Saccharomyces cerevisiae S288C: one gene and its partners. The gene in region 4 interacts genetically with the main gene of each other region. Each region holds a gene or a part of one and is shown on either strand. Other genes may lie near its edges. The genes, in order: SAC6, AIP1, BBC1 and CAP2.

Evidence for each region.
Region 1: mutations in CAP2 (region 4) and SAC6 are lethal when combined (synthetic lethality), as found in Saccharomyces cerevisiae (4 studies listed by BioGRID, with this or other methods).
Region 2: mutations in CAP2 (region 4) and AIP1 together harm fitness more than expected from each alone (negative genetic interaction), as found in Saccharomyces cerevisiae (6 studies listed by BioGRID, with this or other methods).
Region 3: mutations in CAP2 (region 4) and BBC1 together harm fitness more than expected from each alone (negative genetic interaction), as found in Saccharomyces cerevisiae (4 studies listed by BioGRID, with this or other methods).

Annotation. Positions count from the first base shown.
Region 1 is NC_001136.10:711,987-718,022, forward strand, and holds SAC6 (fimbrin), read right to left. Parts: upstream 3,394-6,036; coding exon 3,373-3,393; intron 3,262-3,372; coding exon 1,354-3,261; downstream 1-1,353. Other genes in the region: MTC5 (Mtc5p), read left to right, coding at 1-1,009; FIN1 (Fin1p), read right to left, coding at 3,761-4,636; YDR131C (uncharacterized protein), read right to left, coding at 4,804-6,036. UniProt on the Saccharomyces cerevisiae protein: Binds to actin, and functionally associates with actin structures involved in the development and maintenance of cell polarity.
Region 2 is NC_001145.3:450,317-456,188, forward strand, and holds AIP1 (Aip1p), read right to left. Parts: upstream 3,164-5,872; coding exon 1,316-3,163; downstream 1-1,315. Other genes in the region: NPL6 (Npl6p), read right to left, coding at 1-1,049; snoRNA-binding rRNA-processing protein UTP15, read left to right, coding at 3,699-5,240; CTF13 (Ctf13p), read left to right, coding at 5,509-5,872.
Region 3 is NC_001142.9:398,437-404,142, forward strand, and holds BBC1 (Bbc1p), read right to left. Parts: upstream 3,975-5,706; coding exon 501-3,974; downstream 1-500. Other genes in the region: MPS3 (Mps3p), read left to right, coding at 4,461-5,706. UniProt on the Saccharomyces cerevisiae protein: Involved in the regulation of actin cytoskeleton.
Region 4 is NC_001141.2:288,726-292,039, reverse strand, and holds CAP2 (F-actin-capping protein subunit beta), read left to right. Parts: upstream 1-1,950; coding exon 1,951-2,814; downstream 2,815-3,314. Other genes in the region: cAMP-dependent protein kinase regulatory subunit BCY1, read left to right, coding at 371-1,621; casein kinase 2 catalytic subunit CKA1, read left to right, coding at 3,132-3,314. UniProt on the Saccharomyces cerevisiae protein: F-actin-capping proteins bind in a Ca(2+)-independent manner to the fast growing ends of actin filaments (barbed end) thereby blocking the exchange of subunits at these ends.

The DNA of each region.
Region 1 (6,036 bases), on a different chromosome or scaffold from region 4:
AAAGTTTGACCTTGATGAAATTAGTCATTGTTGGCAAATATTATCTGATATGTTGATAGACCAAAGTGATTACGATCCTTATACTACTATATGGAATAACCATCCCATGGGGATAAAGTGGTTCATAAAGGAAGCGATTGTCTACTTTGAGAGGCAACAAAATTTACAGATGCTGGCCATGTTATGCTGTGTCATATTAAGCGCCAGGAGAAAAAAGATTCCAGCCAGATATTATGGGCAAGAATTAGAGAATATGGAAGGAACCATTGTGTTTAATGACAACGAAAGTCAAAACACATCATTTTGGAAAGGATCTGATGCTTTTTCCACCAGGTCTAGGAGTAGCACTGTTACACCAAATTTTTATGGTAATCATTTGAGAGGAAAAAACATTCATGGAGGAGACAACTCCTCAATAAGGTCCGACGACCACCACGCTAGGTTAAGGACGCACAACACTCTTAATGGTAGTAGTAAATTTACGGAGCCGGCCCAAAAGCAGGGCAGCCGTGCCATTTCATCCAGCCCTTTTCATAGTAGAATGCCTGACATCAAAGTCGAGCTTTTACATGACGATATTATAGAAGCTTATGAACAAGAAGACCTCTTACATTTAGAGGTATCAGACATACCAAAGTTCCAAACTTATATTTATCAATATTCAAAGTTACTTTTTAGATGGGGACTGCCTTTAGAAAGGGTCAAAATTCTAAAAGTTAGTACTGATTTCAGAAGTTCTTATAGTTCCCAAGGCATCCCCCCTAACAATAACAAGAAAAGTCCTTACAATGGTGTACTTACGCACTGGATCGAGAACAACGAGTTTGGAGAAGAAAAATTCCTAGCCCGAAATTGTAATTACTGTGATTTAAGAGTGACAAGAAGTAGCTTCATATGTGGAAATTGTCAACATGTTTTACACTCTTCGTGCGCGAGGATATGGTGGGAGATTGGTGATGAGTGCCCATCTGGATGTGGGTGCAATTGTCCGGAAATGTTCGATGCCTAAAAGCTTAACTATCACGTACATTTTCTGCATATTTCAAAGAACCTTGGATGTATATGAAAAAAAGTTCACAGGATATATGGCTTAATAAGTAGTTTATTTACGATTTTTTAATCCAGTAGAGGCATGATAGAAGACGACAACGGAATCATTGAGCGTTGGAGGCATTTTTACAATGGCTCAGTAATCACGAATAAAAGTAGGTGGAAGTTGAAATCTATTATTACATATTAAAAACTTCAGAAATACTTGAGGCTATATATTGTTGTACACTTAACCAATCGTATAACGGAGCATTGGAACAAGAAAGCTGAGTAGAAAACAGGTTACGAAAGTTGTTTGTTGGCTCATTTGTTCAAAGTCATTAACGAAGCGATAAAAGTAATAATTAATCTTGCACGAACTTCGTTGATATCTTCTGGCACCAACCAAATCAAAGCACCCAACTTTCTAGCAATAGAAATAGCCAATCTTGCGTTTGCGTACCTTTCTTCCTCGGTGTTACCAGGGGTGACTAGATCATAATCAACATAGCCCGGCGCGATACCATTCAGAACATCCAATAAGAAGTGGGCGTTTGATAAAGCTTGGTCCTTAAATGATCTAATGGTAGAGTTTTTACCACCTTTAGTTACCTGGTCTTGGGCCCACTTTAATATTTGAGAATCACTCATGTCTCTACCACTTGAGGATAATGTCTTCATGGTTATCGAAATATTTCTACGCATCAATTGCCACACTAACCCTAAGGTCAGTAATTTGTTACCATCTACAATATCAGATCCTTCGATACCAACCAAAGAAAATCCTTTGGCTCTGCCCAAGTCGACTGCATAGTTGGTGTTTTCTAAGGCTTTGAATCTGGATATCTCTGCACCCGAGGCCGGTCTTTTGTTGACATGTTTAAAATCAACAGCACCGGGCATCACCTTTTCGTAAGCTTGCAATAATATCAAACCATCCTTCAAATCATCAAACAGCGAAATGACAGGTGGATCAACGTCAAGAGAGTTCAACCATAAGGTAAAGACTCTTGCCTCTCTCTCACCTTCGGCGTCAAATTCTTCAATTTCAGGCTTTTCCTCTTCCTGAATAGGCTCTAATCCAGGATGTGTATTGAATAGATGTGCCACGAAAGCCAGGTTTAATTTAGGGTTCCCCGCAACTAATGAACTTGGGGTTAAATACTTTCTACAATCTAGCTTTTCAGCATTTTGTAAAACTTGCTCAGCTCTCTCCATTAAATCTGTGGTTTGTAATGGTGCCTTAGAACACAAGGCGGGGTCCAACTGGTTCAACAAGATAGTATAGTTTTCACCATCAGACACGTCTTTTGAAAAATTGGTAACCCTTCTGTTCCAGTTTGCTTGCTTCAAATGGTAGTTAAACCAACGTAGTAGAATTTGCTCCGGAGGCAACCTCAAAAATTGCTCCAACGTTTCATCATCCTCCAATAGACGGTATAACTCAGGATGCAGCTTAATATCAATTTTACTTAACAAACCTCTCCTAATAATTTGCCAAATCAAACCCAGGATCAAATGCTCTCTACCTTCAATAATGTCCTCGGAATGAACATTAACAACGACACAACCAATGGCTTTTGCAGAATTAATAACAATATTAGCATTTTCACTAGCCTGAAAATTATTCAATTCCTTACCCTTCTTAGGCCAATTCAAAACTCTTGTATCGATAGTATCAGGAACAGAGTCGTTGATCAACTTAGATAGCACCAACCCATCCCTACATTCATCAAATAATTGGAAAGTATCAGTAGGAAATGGAAGCAAATCACCTATATCTTGGTCTCCCGCCAAGACGCTATTGATATGTTTAGTAAATTCACGTCTTTCTTCTTCATTGATGGTATGTGTAGTACCTGTTTGGGAGCCAGCAACAATAATCTTGGCTTGAGTACCCTTACCCTTGTGCTGTAGTCCTGTGGCAGCAGTGGAAACAATAGGGGTTGAGTTAGGTGCTACGTTGAAAGTGGTCTGTGGAGCAGCTCCTGTTTTAGATTCTCTTAATTTTGCAACCAACCCGACGTAATCGTCCAGTTCAACACGGCCTGACGCATCCACACCCACATGCTTCAGGGTTTCTCTTGCTTCGTCATAAGTAGCATCACCATCTTTGGACACCGCTTCTAGAGCTTGCTGTTTTTCAACCCATCCTTTATCATCTAAGTCAATGGCTCTGAACTTTTCAATTGTGGAAAAAAGATCCTCTTGAGTCAAAATTGGAAATTTTCTCTAATCGCAGAAGAGTTTGTTAGTATATGAAACGTTTATTACAACCTAAAAGGTAGAAAAAACTTTTTCACTGTGCTCAGCAGTGTGGGAATTCGAGAAAGGCATACATACTTGTAATTTGACAATATTCATTGTGTTTTGGTGTACTCCTTAGGGCTAATATATCAGCTTCTTCTCTGATAATTTTAGTGTAAAGAGCTTTCTTGTTCTCCTGAAATAACCAAAATTTATATCGATAAATCTTCATTATAAACTTCGCCCCGTACTTTTGATATTTTTCCGCCTCCCGAGGAGTGCTTTTTCACATGAAGGCCATCGGGAACAAGAAGAAAAGCCGTTCACGTAAGAAAATAGGACCCTATATCCGGTCAGGATCACTCAAGCTGTATGTAAATGTAATATAGACAAAGCACCTTTAACTGCTAAGAATTAATTATAGTGTCGGAAATATAACATAACTTGCTTACTTCCTGTGTAAAAAATGTGAGAAGGGATATGATTACTTATGTTTCGGTATTTCCGTGAGTTGAAGTTCGATATTGGATAATCTTGATTCAATCTCTCGCTGTCTTCTCAACATTTGTAGTAGCAAGTCCTTTATTTCTTTAAGTTCCACGGTTTCTTCAGTCACTATATTATCAGGTAGTTTAAATTTTACACTTTTCTGGAAACTAGCTTTGTGTATCTTACCTTCGTTCGCCAGCATGGAATTCAGTTTAGTGTTCGATTTAGTAAGGGATTCTATGCCATTTCCCACGTCTTCCTCTTCTTTCTTGAGTTCAACTAATAAATTCTTCCCTTTCAATTTAGCTCGAGGAAGGTCATTCTCAAATGGGGCGTCCTTGAGCTCAGTATTAGAACAGAGGTCAGTGTTGCTTTTGGCATCCGATGGGAGAATATGTTGCTGCTGTTGCTGCTGTATCCTTTCAGGTGACATGAGTCCATTCTTAAACCGGGCCCGTATTCTCGTTAACGAACCATCACCCCCGATTTTATTTTCATTACTGAATGTCAGTTTGGTTGGTGATGTAGGGAATATTATATTAGTTATATGATCTGAGTTTTGGATCTTCACATTTTTATTCGAATTTTTGAACTGAGGCCTATCCAGGCTTTGAGTTTCCTTAGAGACATAGCCCTTCAGACATTCCGGCGACATAATCCTTCTTGGTGTTACTTGTATACTATGCTTCATTCCATCTGTCTTGTTAGGTGATATCCTCATAGGTGGTTTCAAAAACTCTTTTTGGCTTGTCGTCCTCAAAGGGGACATACTCAATCTCACAAAGACATTGTCCTTGTCACTTGGTATATTATTTCGACCAATCGTATTCCCTATGTCACGTAAACTCCTGCGGTTGCTTTTATTGCTCATAATTTGTTTTATTGAACTATGTCACATCACTGCAATCCAGTGAGAACACTGAGAAAGCTCTAACTAGACTATACAATCCATTTGTTTTGATTTCCTCTTGTTGACAATTTGCAGTATTTAGAGTATATATCATTATGTACGTGTTATAACCGCCATGTCTCACAGTATCAACTAAATAGAGCTTCTGCGTCCACCAATTCATAAACAGAGTTGCTTTTATAGCCATTATTATAGAAGAGGGGAACCGCGCATCGTTGTAACTCGTCCACTTGTATTATTTTTGTAGGTATACCGTTGATGGTTAGATATTCTAAGTTCGGCAAACTTTGCTCAAAAACTTTAAATACGTCTTTTAGATAATGAAGGTATAAGTGGTACAAACTAATGGCATCTTCTCTAGTAATTTTATTCACTGTAATATTCTCAGTATTTTCTATGGTGCTTTGCAGATTTTCATTGAACTTTCGTACAAACGTTTCAATAGGTACAGAATCCCATCCCATCGCAGGTGATTCGTTGTCAATAATGTTTGTATAGGGCATGATCTTGTTCTCGAAAAACATTTGGTAAAAGAAATTATGGGCTTGGAACTTATTTGGGTTCTTTAAAAGTTTTGACCGGGTTTCAGGAAAGATTTTTTTTAGAATGACCTCGTGAATTGTATTTTTGCAAGTTGAACAAGGGCAGAAACCATCGAAATTCAAGCGAGTTAGTGGGTTATCTGTCATGGGAAAAAAAAGCCTGTGATTTAGTTGGCAGTGTATGTCAAAACGCTGTAATTTTTTGCCACACACTTGTTTAGATAAGAAGTTAATCAACGACACATCGAAGTCAAATTTACCCATGTAATCAAGTTTCAGTATCTTTAAATTGTGAAACACAGCCAAACAATTCATTAGAAAAAATTCGCTGTAAACCAATGACGCTAATGATAGTTTCTCAATGTTCGGAAATTTCCAAAATCCTTCTAGCCCCCATTTGACATATAACCTGTCAAAACCACCTTCTTCGCCAGAGGGAAAATCGTCGCGACTGTACCAAGACAAAATCTCTAGCTGCCTTAAGGTGGAAGCATCAAATATGTCGATGTATTCTAGCTCTTTTAAGAAGTCATCGGAAGCGTCGTACTCCGCAAGGTTAAGTGTGTCGGGTCGCAAATTTAATACCAATGCTTTGATCTTCATAGGAGACCCGGTATTTTTGAAGTACTTCAATGCGTTTATATGAATGGAAAGTTTTTCTAATCGAGATAGATCGCACTTCAAGAGCAACCGATCAATTTTATTCAAATAAGAACCGCTTACACTGTTATGGGTGGGCATTAACGTTGGTGGCGTTAATGTTAGAGTTTTTAATTGCTTTGATAAAGGTTCTAGCCCCTTGTTAACTGATGAGCGAAC
Region 2 (5,872 bases), on a different chromosome or scaffold from region 4:
CTCAAGCCTTGTTGATCTACAAGAAGAACCTTCACTCTATCATAAAACAAATCGCTATTAAATCTACTACACGCAGCAGAATGCTGATAGAGCCAATTTGTAGAGCTCAGCTTACTACCTGATGCAATAATATTAGAATTACTCATGTGACCATGTGGCCTGTGTTCAAAGAATTCCACCTGGTTTTTTGCAGGGTTTATGCCATTCTCGGAAGCAGGATACATCATGGTTTCTAAGGCCCTTGCGGATTTATCAATAGGATCACCAGCAAGTTTTCCTTCAATTACATTTCCCTTTGTTCTTAATTCAGAAGCATAATAATCATCGGTTATATGTTTGCCGCCACGAATGATTTTAGCACCAAATTCTTTAAACACGCCTCTAGCGGTGACTAGAGCGATTTGTCTATTTCTATATGAATAAGGTAAAACGCCACGGTCTATCAAGTCGTTCTTTTGAGTTTGATTCAGAATGAACTTATAAAGGTTGGGGTGAGTTTGAAAAAATAAATATGAATCTCTAAAACCCACTATCCTAGCCGGTTCGGTGGCCAGCATAAACTTTCGATTCCCCTTCTCAGTTAATGTGAAGGTGCGCACTAAAAATTCTCTGCCTCCTAATAGATCACCATCTGCAGTTATCTTCGTCTCACCTTCAGGATCATCTGGTAGAACATATTCTTCATTGACCACTTTCAAAGGATTTAAGTTCTCCTCAGCATCATCGATTCCGGGAAATACTGGTTTTTTGAACTTTGAACGGTTTCTAGATCTAGTAACGCCTTTATCCTCTGACAAATCCTCTTCTTCGTCCACGTGCCTCCTTTTGTTTCTTCCGCTTTTATTTATCTGTTCCTCCTCATCACTTATTTCTTCTTCATTCACTCCCTCATTGGCTTCTTCTTCTCTGTAATCATCATCTTCATTCTCATCATTTTCATCAATATCTAAATCCTCAGTATCAATTGCATAATTGGGTCTGTTGCTAGTAGATCTTGACCGCTTCTCATGTTCAACTTCGGAAGCTAGACCTCCCTCTGAATCTGACATTTCTGCTAGATGGTATTTCCTTCTTCAAAAGTAAATGTACTGTATTCAGTAATGCTTAAACTTTATAAAGCTGTTTTCTTGCAATATTTTTGTCTGCTCACAGTAACATGTTTAATAGTTCGAACGGGTTTTTTTTTAAAAGAGCGAAGTAATCAAAGCATTCGGGTAATAATTACAAGTTTATATGGACTGTGGTAAAAACAGTGTAAAACTTTTTTATATCTATTTTTCTAAGGTTACGTAATTGTTTACTTTATATTCTTATCTCACTCGAGGACAACATTCCACCTTTTAATGCAAGCGTCCGCACCAGAACTAACCAAGGTAGATGGTGTTTCCCATAAAAGGTTGTTAACACCGTCCTTGTGAGCATTCAACGCCTTAATGATTTTCATAGGTCTTTTGACGGAGTAAATAAAAATATTGGTGTCTAAAGAACCAGTGGCAACTAAGTCCTCTTCAATTTCCTCTTCGTTTGCTCCCTTTTCAGCAGGTTTCCATGAAATGGCGTTGATTTTACTGGTGTGGAAAGCCCATCTTGAAGTTTTCACTTCTCTTGATTGTAAATCATATAGCAATATCTTGCCCATAACATCTCCAGCAGCGATGTATGTTTCAGATGGCGAAATTGATATGTACGAGGGTTTTGCGCGAAGAGGTGTTTTTAAATCAAAACTGACTTCCAAATCTGATAATTTGAATACCTGAATAGTATTACCTTCTTCCAAACCAACTGCAACGTAATTTTGGCTCAAGCTAACGGCAGAGCCTGGTGAGTTCAGTCTTACACTCTTGATTATATCGCCCGTAAAAGACTGTAATATCAACAAATCATCATCATTTGTTAGTACTGCAGTGAAGCCATCATTGTTCGCACTAGCAACCTTTGGTTGCGATCCAAATTCATGCTTAGTAATACCGTTCACTTTCAAAGTATCATCCCAAGAAATACTGGAGTATTCTTGCGCTTTACTATTATCCAATGATACAATCAAGTTGGAGTGATCTTGGTGCATGGAAGAGCTAGACCATTCCATAATCCTACCATCATATGACCCACTGATTAGTGGGTTGACTGTCAAAGCAGTAATACCCTTGTTATGACCACTAATGGTTTTTAAAACCTCGTCATGTCCAAGTTCATAGAAGTTTAAGGTCCCATCCAGTGAAAGAGAAATAATCCTTCCGTTTCCTGTTGCAACAACACCAACTTGTTGATTTCCCAGTTGTTGCTTGTCTAAGGTCCATTTTTGAACGCATTTTGAAGTCGTGACGTCCCAAACCCTAATGGTAGCGTCTGCTCCTACGGTAGCAAACTTTTGGGAATCAAGCCACGATAGTGCAAATATACCACCTTGAACTGGTTCTTGATCATCCTCTATGTATTTAAGAAACTCACCTGATTTGCCATCAAAGCAAGAAATCTTTCTGTCAGACCCTACCGTAATAACAAATTCACCGCTGTCAGGTGAAAATTCAACATCCCTGACAAATGAGCCTTGTTTGTGGTGTGTTCTGTCACTGGCAGAGAACTTAAATGGAGGTCCTTGATAAAAGACAACAGATCCATCATCTCCAACTGTCATAGATCTCATAGGTCTAGATTGCTTCAAATGACAAGCATTGATGCGTTGTGAGTGACCTGAAACTTCACCTAAGGAATTACCAGAATCCCAGGATATGAAAACACCAAAGTTATCACGACCTTCTCCCACAACGCAGAGTCTTCGCCCTTCAAAATCCCAGGAGATATCGCTGATTGGACCTGCTAAAACTTGGAATTCAGACTTAACATTCACTTCAACAGAATTGCTTTCTTTGTCAAATGTCCATCCCCAAACAATCACTTTTCCAGATTCGTCACCGGAGCATAGGTACTGGGAACCCTTAATTGGAGAGAACTTTACCGTTGTGACTACCGAAGAGCCATGACCAGTAAATTGTACTACTGGAGGTACTTTACTGTCTCCATCGTCCAAACAACGTACAAATGCAGATTTTCCACATGGGTAAGCAATTGCGTTGGTTGTAGGGTCATACGATAAATGCGTAGTAAAGTTACGCTGTGTCGAAGGCTGAGGTGGTATAATTTCCTTCAAAGAGATAGATGACATTATTTTTGTTTACTTTGCTACTTTTGCCCGTTAATATACCTTAAAAACTGTATTTGCGAGTTGCAAAAGGCAGAATAGTGCTGAGTTGCTTCCCCTTATAATTAAATAATGATCATTAATCAAAGATCTGACATATATGCCTTCGGTAGAAAAGGTGGCAGGTTACAGGGTGAAAACATCCGTACATCATATACAATTCATTGTTTCGAAAACAAACGAACGGGACACTAGAGACCAATAAAAACGTTTCAGAACGTCTTGGTAGCGTTCAGTTCTGATTATGAACGGAAAGCAATAGCTAGTATTGATACACCTCCAGTTTCTAGTCATTCACCCCAAGTAAGCATAATATTTAACGTTCTGTGACCTACATACCTCGTAATTAGTGATAATTATCTTTTGAAAATTTTTGGAATAACTGAAAAATTTTGAAAACTTTCGAGCTTTGAAGAAAAAACGATGCCCATCACTAATAGAAGTCCCTTGAAACAGTTTTTGCTAAGAACAGGCCTAAGGATCATAATATAGAAATAAAATGTCGACTGCTAGGCCTAGAATAATCACTTCGAAGGCTCCATTATTGCCTCAACAGACTACCCCGGAGCAGCGTTACTGGCGTCAATACACTTCCGCACAACTGGTTAAAGAACATAATAGCGTTACTCACATATCATTCAATCCTCAACATCCTCATGATTTTGCAGTAACTTCCTCAACCAGAGTTCAAATATTTTCTTCAAGAACTAGGCAAGTGATCAAGACCTTTTCAAGATTTAAAGATGTTGTCTATTCTGCATCCTTTAGGAGTGATGGTAAATTGCTTTGTGCCGGTGATGCTACCGGTTTAGTGTCTGTATACGACAGTTATAATCCCAGGACTATCCTTTTATCTATAAACGCTTCCACACATCCCACACATGTTACGAAATTCCATACGCAAGATAACAAAATTCTGGCTACGGCGAGTGACGATAGAGTGACAAGACTTTGGGATATATCCAACGCATATGAGCCACAATTAGAGCTCACCGGAGCTACTGACTATGTTCGTACCTTATCATTTATCCCAGCAGCCCCACATTTGGTTGCAACAGGCTCATACGACGGTTTGATCAGATTATATGACACAAGATCTAGCGGATCCACGCCAATTTATTCTCTGAATCATGACCAACCTGTTGAAAATGTTATTGCAGTATCTCCAACCCAAATTGTTTCTTGCGGTGGCAATAATTTCAAAGTGTGGGACTTGACCAGTAACAAGAAATTATACGAACGTGGCAATTTCAATAAGGCTGTGACATGCTTGGACTATGTTGAAAATTTTGATTCTCCAATGCAATCGGCGTTGATCGCTTCTTCCTTAGATGGTCATGTCAAAGTCTTTGATCCTTTAGACAATTTCCAAGTCAAATTTGGCTGGAAATTTTCGGGTCCCGTACTAAGTTGTGCTGTCTCCCCTAGTACCGCACAAGGGAATAGGCATTTAGTAGCAGGTTTATCATCAGGACTACTAGCCATTAGAACTAAAAAGAAAGAGAAACGTTCTTCCGATAAAGAAAACGCACCCGCCAGTTTTAATAAGAATGCGAAAAGTAATAACTTCCAGAGAATGATGCGAGGCTCGGAATACCAAGGTGATCAAGAGCATATAATCCACAATGATAAGGTAAGATCTCAACGTCGTATGCGTGCATTCGAAAGGAACATAAATCAGTTTAAATGGAGCGAAGCACTCGACAATGCCTTTGTACCAGGTATGGCCAAAGAGTTGACACTTACTGTTCTTCAAGAACTACGCAAACGTGGCAAAGTTCGTGTAGCGCTATATGGTAGAGATGAATCTACATTAGAGCCGCTACTGAATTGGTGCTTAAAAGGTATTGAAGATGTGAGATCAGCATCTATTGTAGCGGATTGGGTCGCCGTGGTTTTAGAATTATATGGGAATACGTTAGAAAGCTCTCCAGTTCTTCAAGAATTGATGATAGATTTGAAAACTAAAGTTAGACATGAAATTCATAAGTCTAAAGAAGCTCAAAGAATTGAAGGTATGCTTCAACTTTTAACGAGTTAAGGAAATATTAGCATATAGATTTTAATTTGTATCTATTTTATAGATATTCAGGCATACATATATATCTCTTTCTCATTGTAATCGAAAAAAATAATATCTTCTCTTTTTATTGAAAAAAGGAACCTGTATAAATTTCATTTTAGAGTGCTTTGCATTTTGATACGTTTTCGCGTTTAACTACCTTCGAGGGCTTGAAAACAAAACATTGTGAGATGAGATGCTATCAACAGAAAGCTGACTGTGAGTCCCCAGAAGTCCATGTCGCTTGATGCCTTCTTTCAATCCTGTTAGATTCTTAGAGTTACCAATTGACATTAGAAAAGAAGTTTACTTCCATTTAGATGGTAATTTTTGCGGAGCACATCCCTACCCAATAGATATATTATACAAATCTAATGATGTGGAGCTTCCAGGAAAACCAAGTTATAAAAGGTCTAAGAGATCTAAGAAATTATTGAGATACATGTATCCTGTTTTTGCCACGTATTTGAACATTTTCGAATACTCTCCGCAACTCATTGAAAAATGGCTTGAGTATGCATTTTGGTTGCGCTATGATTGCCTGGTTTTGGACTGTTTCAAAGTAAACCATCTTTATGACGGAACGCTTATAGATGCATTAGAATGGACGT
Region 3 (5,706 bases), on a different chromosome or scaffold from region 4:
CTTCATCTGCCATCGCCTTTCTATGTTTTCCGTATTTCTTCCCCGCAAGTTCTTTAAACTCAGATAGTATTAGAATCGATAATTAAGGCCAGGTCAAAGTTCGTATTAATTTCAACCTTTGGGCACCTATATTGGATTAATTTCCGTAAGATAATATATGAGAGCACTATCATGGAGTGATGAAGAAAAATTCAAACTCTAGGGGCAAACCGTTTGTTACGATTGCTCAAAAATTACTGCGTCTGAAGCCAGAATTGTAGGTATATACGAAAAGGTACAACTTGGGATACTATTGACGGCGGTAAGATAAGTGAATCCTACCTTTCGTTTTGAGCCGCTCAAATAAGACCTGATACAAAAACGGTTGTTTAATCTTTGTATAGTTTCTTCTGTAGAAGAGTTATGAAAATATACACTTAAACTATAACGATAAGAAAATGCGAAAGGAAAATGATGAAATCGAAAGCATTCACAATTTCCCCTTGGAAGCATTGGGTAAATTACCAACCTACGTATCCTCTCGCAACAATTCTGAAAACCTTTAACTTCCCACTTTTCATATGGCTTAGCTTGTAGCTGTTTTGAATAATCTTTCCCTCGTGATTTTCGATAACTCTAAACTTATTCTTTGTAAAATCATAATCAGTAACAACACTCGAATACGGAGCGGCGGAGTCCATTCCAACGTTGATAATTTCGTTTTTTCCGATCTTTTTATGAGCTTCAAATTTGGCCTTTCTAATTACAAGAATGTCACCTGGTTTAATCTTCTGTAAGCTCTTCATCAACTGTTCGATTCCTTCTTCAGGTTTATAACTCAATATAGTTGCGCCAAACGTTCTTGCTCCTATGGGTTGTATAACTTCGTCTTTGAATTCGGATACAATTTGTGACACGAAATTCTTAGCCCCAATATGTGAATTTATCAATGAATGAGATTTCTCTACAACTTTCGCATTAAACCTTTGAGCGTATTCATCAAGAATACGTGCTGATTGTGTTTCGACTGGCGATGGAAAGCGTTCTTGAAGAGTCGTTACCGTTTTCTCTGGGCTTGTACTATTAAAGGTCAAGGAGAATCTTAGTTGCGAATAGTTTTCAAACAAGAAGTAAAAATCCCTTACCACCCATTTTTGATGTAATCTTTTGGAAATGAAATGATCATCGATCTCCATCAAAAAGTTCAACTTCAGATTGCTTATAGCAGGAGGTGCGCTTTTATTAATCCACCATCTTTCTTGTGCATTAAACTCTATCTTGACGTTGTTGGAAATCTCGCCTACATCATGCGTCGTTGACCTTCTTATAGAGGCCACCTTCGGTGTAGTATCTGACTCATGGAATGAATCCACAGGACGATTCGTCAATGAAGGCACATGGGGCGGTAGGGTTCGTGATTCTTTTTCTGCCCCAGATAGTACTGAGGTTGGCACACGTTGTTGCGTACTCATCATTGAAGGTGTAGAGGCCGTGACATTTTGATGTGGTGGAGGAGAAGGAGCTGTATGTGAATGAGTGGCTGTTGGTTCAGAGTCAAATTCAAAAGTAGCCGGTGGTACTGGTGGTGCACGTGGAAGTGGCGGAGCAGTATTTGGCATAGGATGATATTCCTCGGATACAGGTGGAAGGGGAGCAGATGACTTGACATGTTCTTCTACTTCATTGTGTTTAGGCAGCGCAAGAGGCGCTGGAGGTGCTGGAGGTGCTGGAGGTGTTGGAGGTACTGGAGGTATTGAAGGTGCTGAGAGTGCTGGAGGTGCTGAAGATACTGGAGGTACTGGGGGTACTGGGGGTACTGAAGGTGCAGAGAGTGCTGGAGGTGCTGGAGGTACTGGAGGTGCAGAGGGTACTGAAGGTGCAGAGGGTACTGGAGGTGCAGAGGGTGCAGAAGGCACTGGGTGAGGTGGCACCTTGTCCTCAGGATGTGACACCTTACTTAGAACTGGAGCTGCTGGAGCTGCCATCGAAATATCTTGAGCGGTTTCTGTTAATGCAGATGAATTAGTGGAAACTGTATCATGATACTCGTTTATGGATTTCCGCCGATTTTCCCCTGAAATGGATTTAGTCAAAGAATTTATCGACCCGTTGCGAGCAACTCTTGTTTGTGGGGAAGAGACAGGCAAAACATTTCCAGTTGTGTTTTGTGATGAATTTTCAATATCATGTGATACTTCTGCAGTACGGTGGGAGATTGGTGGTTCTTGAGGGTAAATTTTTTCTCCGGAATTAACATTCTCTGACTCATTATTACCTATCTGAAAAGCTTGCTCCACCATCGAATGCTTTCTCAACCCATCGTTTGCATCCTCAAACTCGTGGTCGTCAGTATCTTCATCAGAATCATGGTCAGAGTATTCGGGATGTGCATTATCAACAGCAGCTAAATTGTGATAGGCGTGTGTACCATGTTCTTGCTTCTGTTCATGCTCTGTGGTTGCATGAGGATCTAGCGTCTTTGTTTCAGTGGGTTGATTCTTCTCACTTAGATTTGATTTCCTAAAAAATGGGTTAGAACTTGGGTCAACAAATGGCATAACAGGTATGGCACGAGGTAGTTCTTGGAGCTGTTCAGGTTCCTCCTCCTCCTTCTCCTTATGCTGTTTCTTTTTCGGCTCTTCTGATGGTTTATTTCCAACTCCAGAAGCCATACCGAAGGGGTTAAAACCAACAGGAGCACCGAATCTACTAGCGCCAGATAGTTTAGCCATTCTTTCTCTCAATGCGGCCCTACGATTCTCTTCACTATCTTCCTCTTCTTTTTCCTCATCATTATCTCCCTCTCTGTCTTCATGGCCGTAACCTATTTCGCTTTCCTCAGCAACATTTTCTCCTCTTGCCTCGTCTGCTTGTGACTCCTCAACTTTCTGATTTTCCTTTGTGTACTCATCTAAAAATTGTTCTTTCTCTATGTCATTCGTGCCTTCATCTGCTTCGCGTGAGGTTTTAGTAATCTCTTTATGTGCCAATAATTCCATTTGCGGTTCCTCGTTGTGCTCAGTTTCAGGCGTAAATTCAGGTTTCGGTTCAGTTTTTTCATTTTCTTCTGCTTCTTCAGTTTCCGTATAGGGCTCATTCTTGTTAACCGCACTACGTTCATGTTCTTGTTCGAGCTTAGCCTTTTTTCTCAAGAGTTCTTCTTCTCTTGCAGCCTGTAATCTTTGTTGCTCCTGTAAAAGAGCAATTCTTTCTTTAAGGCTCATCTGGGGCAAATCCTTCTTTAATTGGTCATTCTCAGTTTCTATTCTTCCACTTTCCACCTGTGCACGATTAATTGGTTCGGGAACAATCTTTTTTTCGTTTTCCTTTAGGGACTTTTTCCTTTCAAGATTGGACGTATCATTTGTTGGAATTCCAGGGGGGACATAGTATTTAGGAGCATCTGCCACAATTGTTTTTTTCACAGGTATGTTTTCTAAATCCAAGTGAGTTGATTTTGGTAAAGGAACTTGCTCCGTTATATCTTGATTAAACATAGATAAGCGAGCCTTCAATTTTGGAGAATCCATGGGAACTTTTCTTTCGCCATTACCACTACTACTATCATGCTGGACCTGTGCTGATACTGCTGTAGCGGCTGGAACTGGCACTGTAGCGGCTGGAACTGGCACTGTAGCGGCTGGAACTGGCACTGGCCCGGACAGAGTTTCTTTCTTCGTTTCAGGGGAAATGGGCTCTGGTAGGTCCTTTTGTTCTACTTCCGGCTGGATTGTACGTTGCTCAGTGGAACCGGTATTCGGAGATGATTCGGCTTCCTTTCCAACTTCAGATCCCTGAACAGCAACAAAACTTTTCGGGAAGATACCCTCAATAACGTCGCCATTTGAATCCTGGTATTCACCAAAGTACCATTCGGCGTCTTCAACAGACGTAACAATAATCTCTTGATCTTTTTCAAAATTTAAATCGTCCTCGTAATCGGACTTGTATGGGAACTGAGCCACCACCTTGAAGGGCACTTCGGGTTCACTCATCCTTAGTTTGGGTAAGACTGTGTTTACTTCTAGTAGCTCTTGCAGTTGGGACGCGATTGATGTTTACTACCGACTTGACGCTACTGTTTCACAGTGTGCTAGTAAATACCACTTCTAGTTGAAGTCTTAAGGAGATTATAATTCTGGAGGTAAAATAGGGGCATTGTAGACCTCTAACTATTTTCAGGGTATATTCCTATATTATATAGGTTTATTCTTAAAATATGAGGTTTATAAATGATACACATCACTTATTGATAGGGTTATACTCTTTGATACGGGTAACATATGAGACGCGAAAATGGAATATAATGACAATGTAAATATCGTCATCTTGAGATAATTATCAACAAGGTTGTCATGAGGAGTTACAGATAAAAGTCAACAGAGTGGAGTTAGTGGTGTTTTAACTGTAGTGCTCCATAGTTTCACGGCGGTTTCTCTTGTTTTCAGTTGGTAGTAACTTTTATCCTGGAAGTGCTGGAAATGAATAACTCAAATGAGCATAGGCGGGAAGAGGCAGGAGCGGCTAATGAACAAATGCCTTACAATAAGGCTGTAAAGTCCGCGTATGCAGATGTCCTCAAGGACAAAATGAATAGGGAACAGGAGATTAGCCTACGAGCCATCAAAAAAGGGATATACACCGATGGCGGTGAAACTGACAACTATGATATGGATAAAGAGAATGATTCCGCGTACGAAATGTTCAAAAAAAATCTTGATTTTCCGTTAGACCAACATAATGATGACGACGATGATGATCCGTACATTGAGGATAATGGACAAGAGACCGACGGATATAGCGACGAGGACTATACAGATGAGGCAGACAAGAGTTTTATAGAAGACAGCGATTCCGACAGCTACGATTTGGAAAGTAATTCTGACTTTGAAGAGAACTTGGAAAGTTCAGGTGAAGCTAAGAAGTTGAAGTGGCGGACGTACATTTTCTATGGAGGCCTTTTCTTCGTTTTTTATTTTTTTGGATCTTTTTTGATGACAACCGTGAAAAATAATGATTTAGAAAGCCATTCATCCGGCGCTACATCCTCTCCAGGCAAATCATTCAGCAACCTACAAAAACAGGTGAATCATTTATATAGTGAGTTGAGTAAGCGGGACGAAAAGCACAGTTCAGAATTGGATAAAACAGTAAAAATCATTGTCTCTCAATTTGAAAAGAATATTAAAAGACTTTTACCCTCAAATTTGGTTAATTTTGAAAATGACATTAACTCGCTGACAAAACAGGTTGAGACAATTTCAACTTCCATGAGTGAGTTACAGAGGCGAAATCACAAATTTACGGTCGAGAATGTTACTCAATGGCAAGATCAACTGGTAAAACAGTTGGATACACACCTCCCTCAAGAAATACCCGTTGTAATTAATAATTCTTCGTCGCTTTTAATAATCCCTGAATTGCACAATTATTTGAGTGCTTTGATTTCAGACGTTATTGAGTCTCCAGGCATTGGTACTGCTGGAAGCGCTGAAAGTCGTTGGGAGTATGATTTGAATCGCTATGTAAAGGAAATTCTTTCGAATGAGTTGCAATATATCGATAAGGATTATTTCATCCAAGAAATGAACAGAAGGTTGCAATCTAACAAACAGGAGATTTGGGAAGAGATCACAAATAGGTTAGAGACACAGCAGCAGCAGCAGCAGCAGCAGGTTCAACAGGATTATTCTAACGTGCCACAGCAGTATTCGAGCATATTAATGA
Region 4 (3,314 bases):
TTTTGTTCTGCCTGATAATATATTGATTATACTGTGCTCGGATTCCGACCTCTTCTTTGTTGCAGAAGCCATAAGCTGAACTTATTGCATTTGCTCAAGTGCATTTATTATGGCGCCGCGCCGCCGCTCTCCAAAATTCTTGTCCTTCCTCGTTTTGCTGGCAAGGAGCAAAACGAAGAGGAAGGTAGAAAAGAGAAAATTTGAACAAACAGGGAAAAGGGAAAGAGAAAAAGGGACACTTTACGCTTTCCTCGACTAAGTCAAGCGATCGCTATCATCACATCCATTACACGCATTTCACGCATACATAAATAGGAAGATCATTTACAACAAGCAGATTATTTTCAAAAGACAACAGTAAGAATAAACGATGGTATCTTCTTTGCCCAAGGAATCGCAAGCCGAATTGCAACTGTTCCAGAACGAAATCAACGCCGCTAATCCGTCCGACTTTCTTCAGTTCTCCGCCAACTATTTCAATAAAAGGCTGGAACAACAGAGAGCGTTCCTCAAGGCCAGGGAGCCTGAATTTAAGGCAAAGAACATTGTTCTATTTCCGGAACCAGAGGAGTCATTTTCCAGACCTCAATCAGCTCAATCTCAATCAAGATCCAGATCGAGTGTTATGTTCAAATCCCCCTTTGTGAACGAGGACCCACACTCCAACGTGTTTAAAAGTGGGTTTAATTTAGACCCGCACGAACAGGACACTCACCAGCAAGCACAGGAAGAACAACAGCATACTAGAGAAAAGACATCAACTCCTCCACTCCCAATGCACTTCAACGCCCAAAGGCGTACTTCTGTTAGTGGTGAGACCTTACAACCAAACAATTTTGACGATTGGACTCCAGATCACTATAAGGAAAAGTCCGAGCAGCAATTGCAAAGACTGGAAAAATCGATCCGTAATAACTTTCTGTTCAACAAGCTGGATTCCGACTCAAAAAGGCTGGTCATAAATTGTCTGGAGGAGAAGTCCGTCCCCAAAGGTGCTACGATAATCAAGCAAGGTGACCAAGGGGACTACTTCTATGTCGTCGAAAAGGGTACTGTTGACTTCTACGTCAACGACAACAAGGTCAACTCTTCCGGGCCAGGCTCCAGTTTCGGGGAACTTGCTCTTATGTACAACAGCCCTCGTGCTGCCACCGTTGTAGCAACCTCCGACTGTTTGTTGTGGGCTCTAGACAGGCTCACCTTCAGAAAAATACTTTTGGGCAGCTCTTTCAAGAAGAGACTCATGTATGACGATCTTTTGAAGAGCATGCCAGTTTTGAAGAGTTTGACTACGTACGACCGTGCCAAACTTGCCGATGCACTGGATACCAAGATCTACCAGCCGGGTGAAACAATCATTCGCGAGGGTGATCAAGGGGAGAACTTTTATTTAATTGAGTACGGAGCTGTGGACGTCTCTAAGAAGGGCCAAGGTGTCATAAATAAACTGAAAGACCATGATTATTTCGGTGAAGTGGCCTTGCTAAACGATTTGCCCAGACAGGCCACTGTGACTGCTACAAAGAGAACCAAAGTTGCCACATTGGGGAAAAGTGGTTTTCAACGTTTACTGGGTCCTGCAGTAGACGTATTAAAGCTCAATGATCCTACAAGACATTAAGTAAAAAGGGGAAGCGATCTTAAATCCACATGAATTTCCTTTCTCTTTTTCTTCTTCTTCTGTTCCCTTTTTCTTTCTTCTTCCTTCAACGTCTACGTAAATATAATGTATAACATCTCCACTTTCCTTTCCCTTATAGCGTTATGTTACCTGTTTAAACTCTAAATTCTTCATCTACTACTGCTGTTACTACATGTATATATGTTCATTTTTTTTTTTTTTTTTCACCACGGAAAACGTAAAAATGAGAGCATTTGTAACAAATAAAGGAGAACTGTTCAATCAAGTGACATACAAAAACTCTCTCCAACTCTACAATCACCACCGTAATGTCTGATGCTCAATTCGATGCTGCTTTAGATCTTCTTAGGAGGCTAAATCCTACCACGTTACAGGAGAATCTAAACAACTTGATCGAATTACAACCAAATTTGGCACAAGATTTACTATCTTCAGTAGACGTTCCCCTATCCACACAGAAAGATTCCGCCGATTCAAACCGGGAGTACTTATGCTGCGACTATAATCGTGATATTGATTCGTTCAGATCGCCTTGGTCGAACACTTATTACCCAGAACTATCCCCAAAGGATCTACAAGACAGCCCCTTTCCCTCAGCCCCTTTAAGAAAATTGGAGATCTTAGCCAATGACTCTTTCGACGTTTACAGAGATCTCTATTATGAAGGCGGTATCTCCAGCGTGTACCTCTGGGACCTCAATGAAGAAGATTTCAATGGGCACGATTTTGCAGGGGTAGTGCTTTTCAAAAAAAACCAATCAGATCACAGTAATTGGGACAGTATCCATGTTTTTGAAGTTACAACATCTCCTTCTTCTCCCGACAGTTTCAACTATAGAGTCACCACTACAATCATTCTGCACTTGGACAAAACAAAAACTGACCAGAATTCTCATATGATGTTATCCGGGAACCTGACAAGACAGACCGAAAAGGACATCGCTATTGATATGTCCCGTCCATTAGATGTTATTTTCACATCACATGTCGCTAATTTGGGTTCCTTAATTGAGGACATTGAGTCTCAGATGAGAAATCTATTGGAAACTGTTTATTTCGAAAAGACAAGAGATATCTTCCACCAAACAAAGAACGCAGCCATTGCTTCCTCTGCTGAGGAAGCGAATAAAGACGCACAGGCAGAGGTAATCAGAGGTTTACAGTCTTTATAGAAATATTTACATGTATCGCTGGTATATCATATAAATACATACAGCAGCACTAAGTGGTAGAAAAGCGCTATCAAAAATCACTCGGAACGAACACTGAAGAAAAAGCGAAAAATCAAAAATATGACCAACGCTTGGAAAATTTCAGTAGCAATTAGACGAACCTCGCAGTCCTGTAGTAAAACGGATTAAGGGACTTCATATACTGTTGATACTCGGTGTATTGCAATTACCTACTAGGAGTTTTCTGAATAGGGACTTAAGAAGTCAAATATACAGACAAAAATAGGGGGTTGTAGAAGGAATATTTGATTCGAACTATGAAATGCAGGGTATGGTCAGAGGCTCGTGTTTATACGAATATCAATAAACAAAGAACCGAGGAATATTGGGATTATGAAAATACTGTAATTGATTGGTCCACAAATACAAAGGACTATGAAATTGAAAATAAAGTTGGGCGAGGAAAATACTCCGAGGTTTTCCAAGGTGTCAAATTAGAC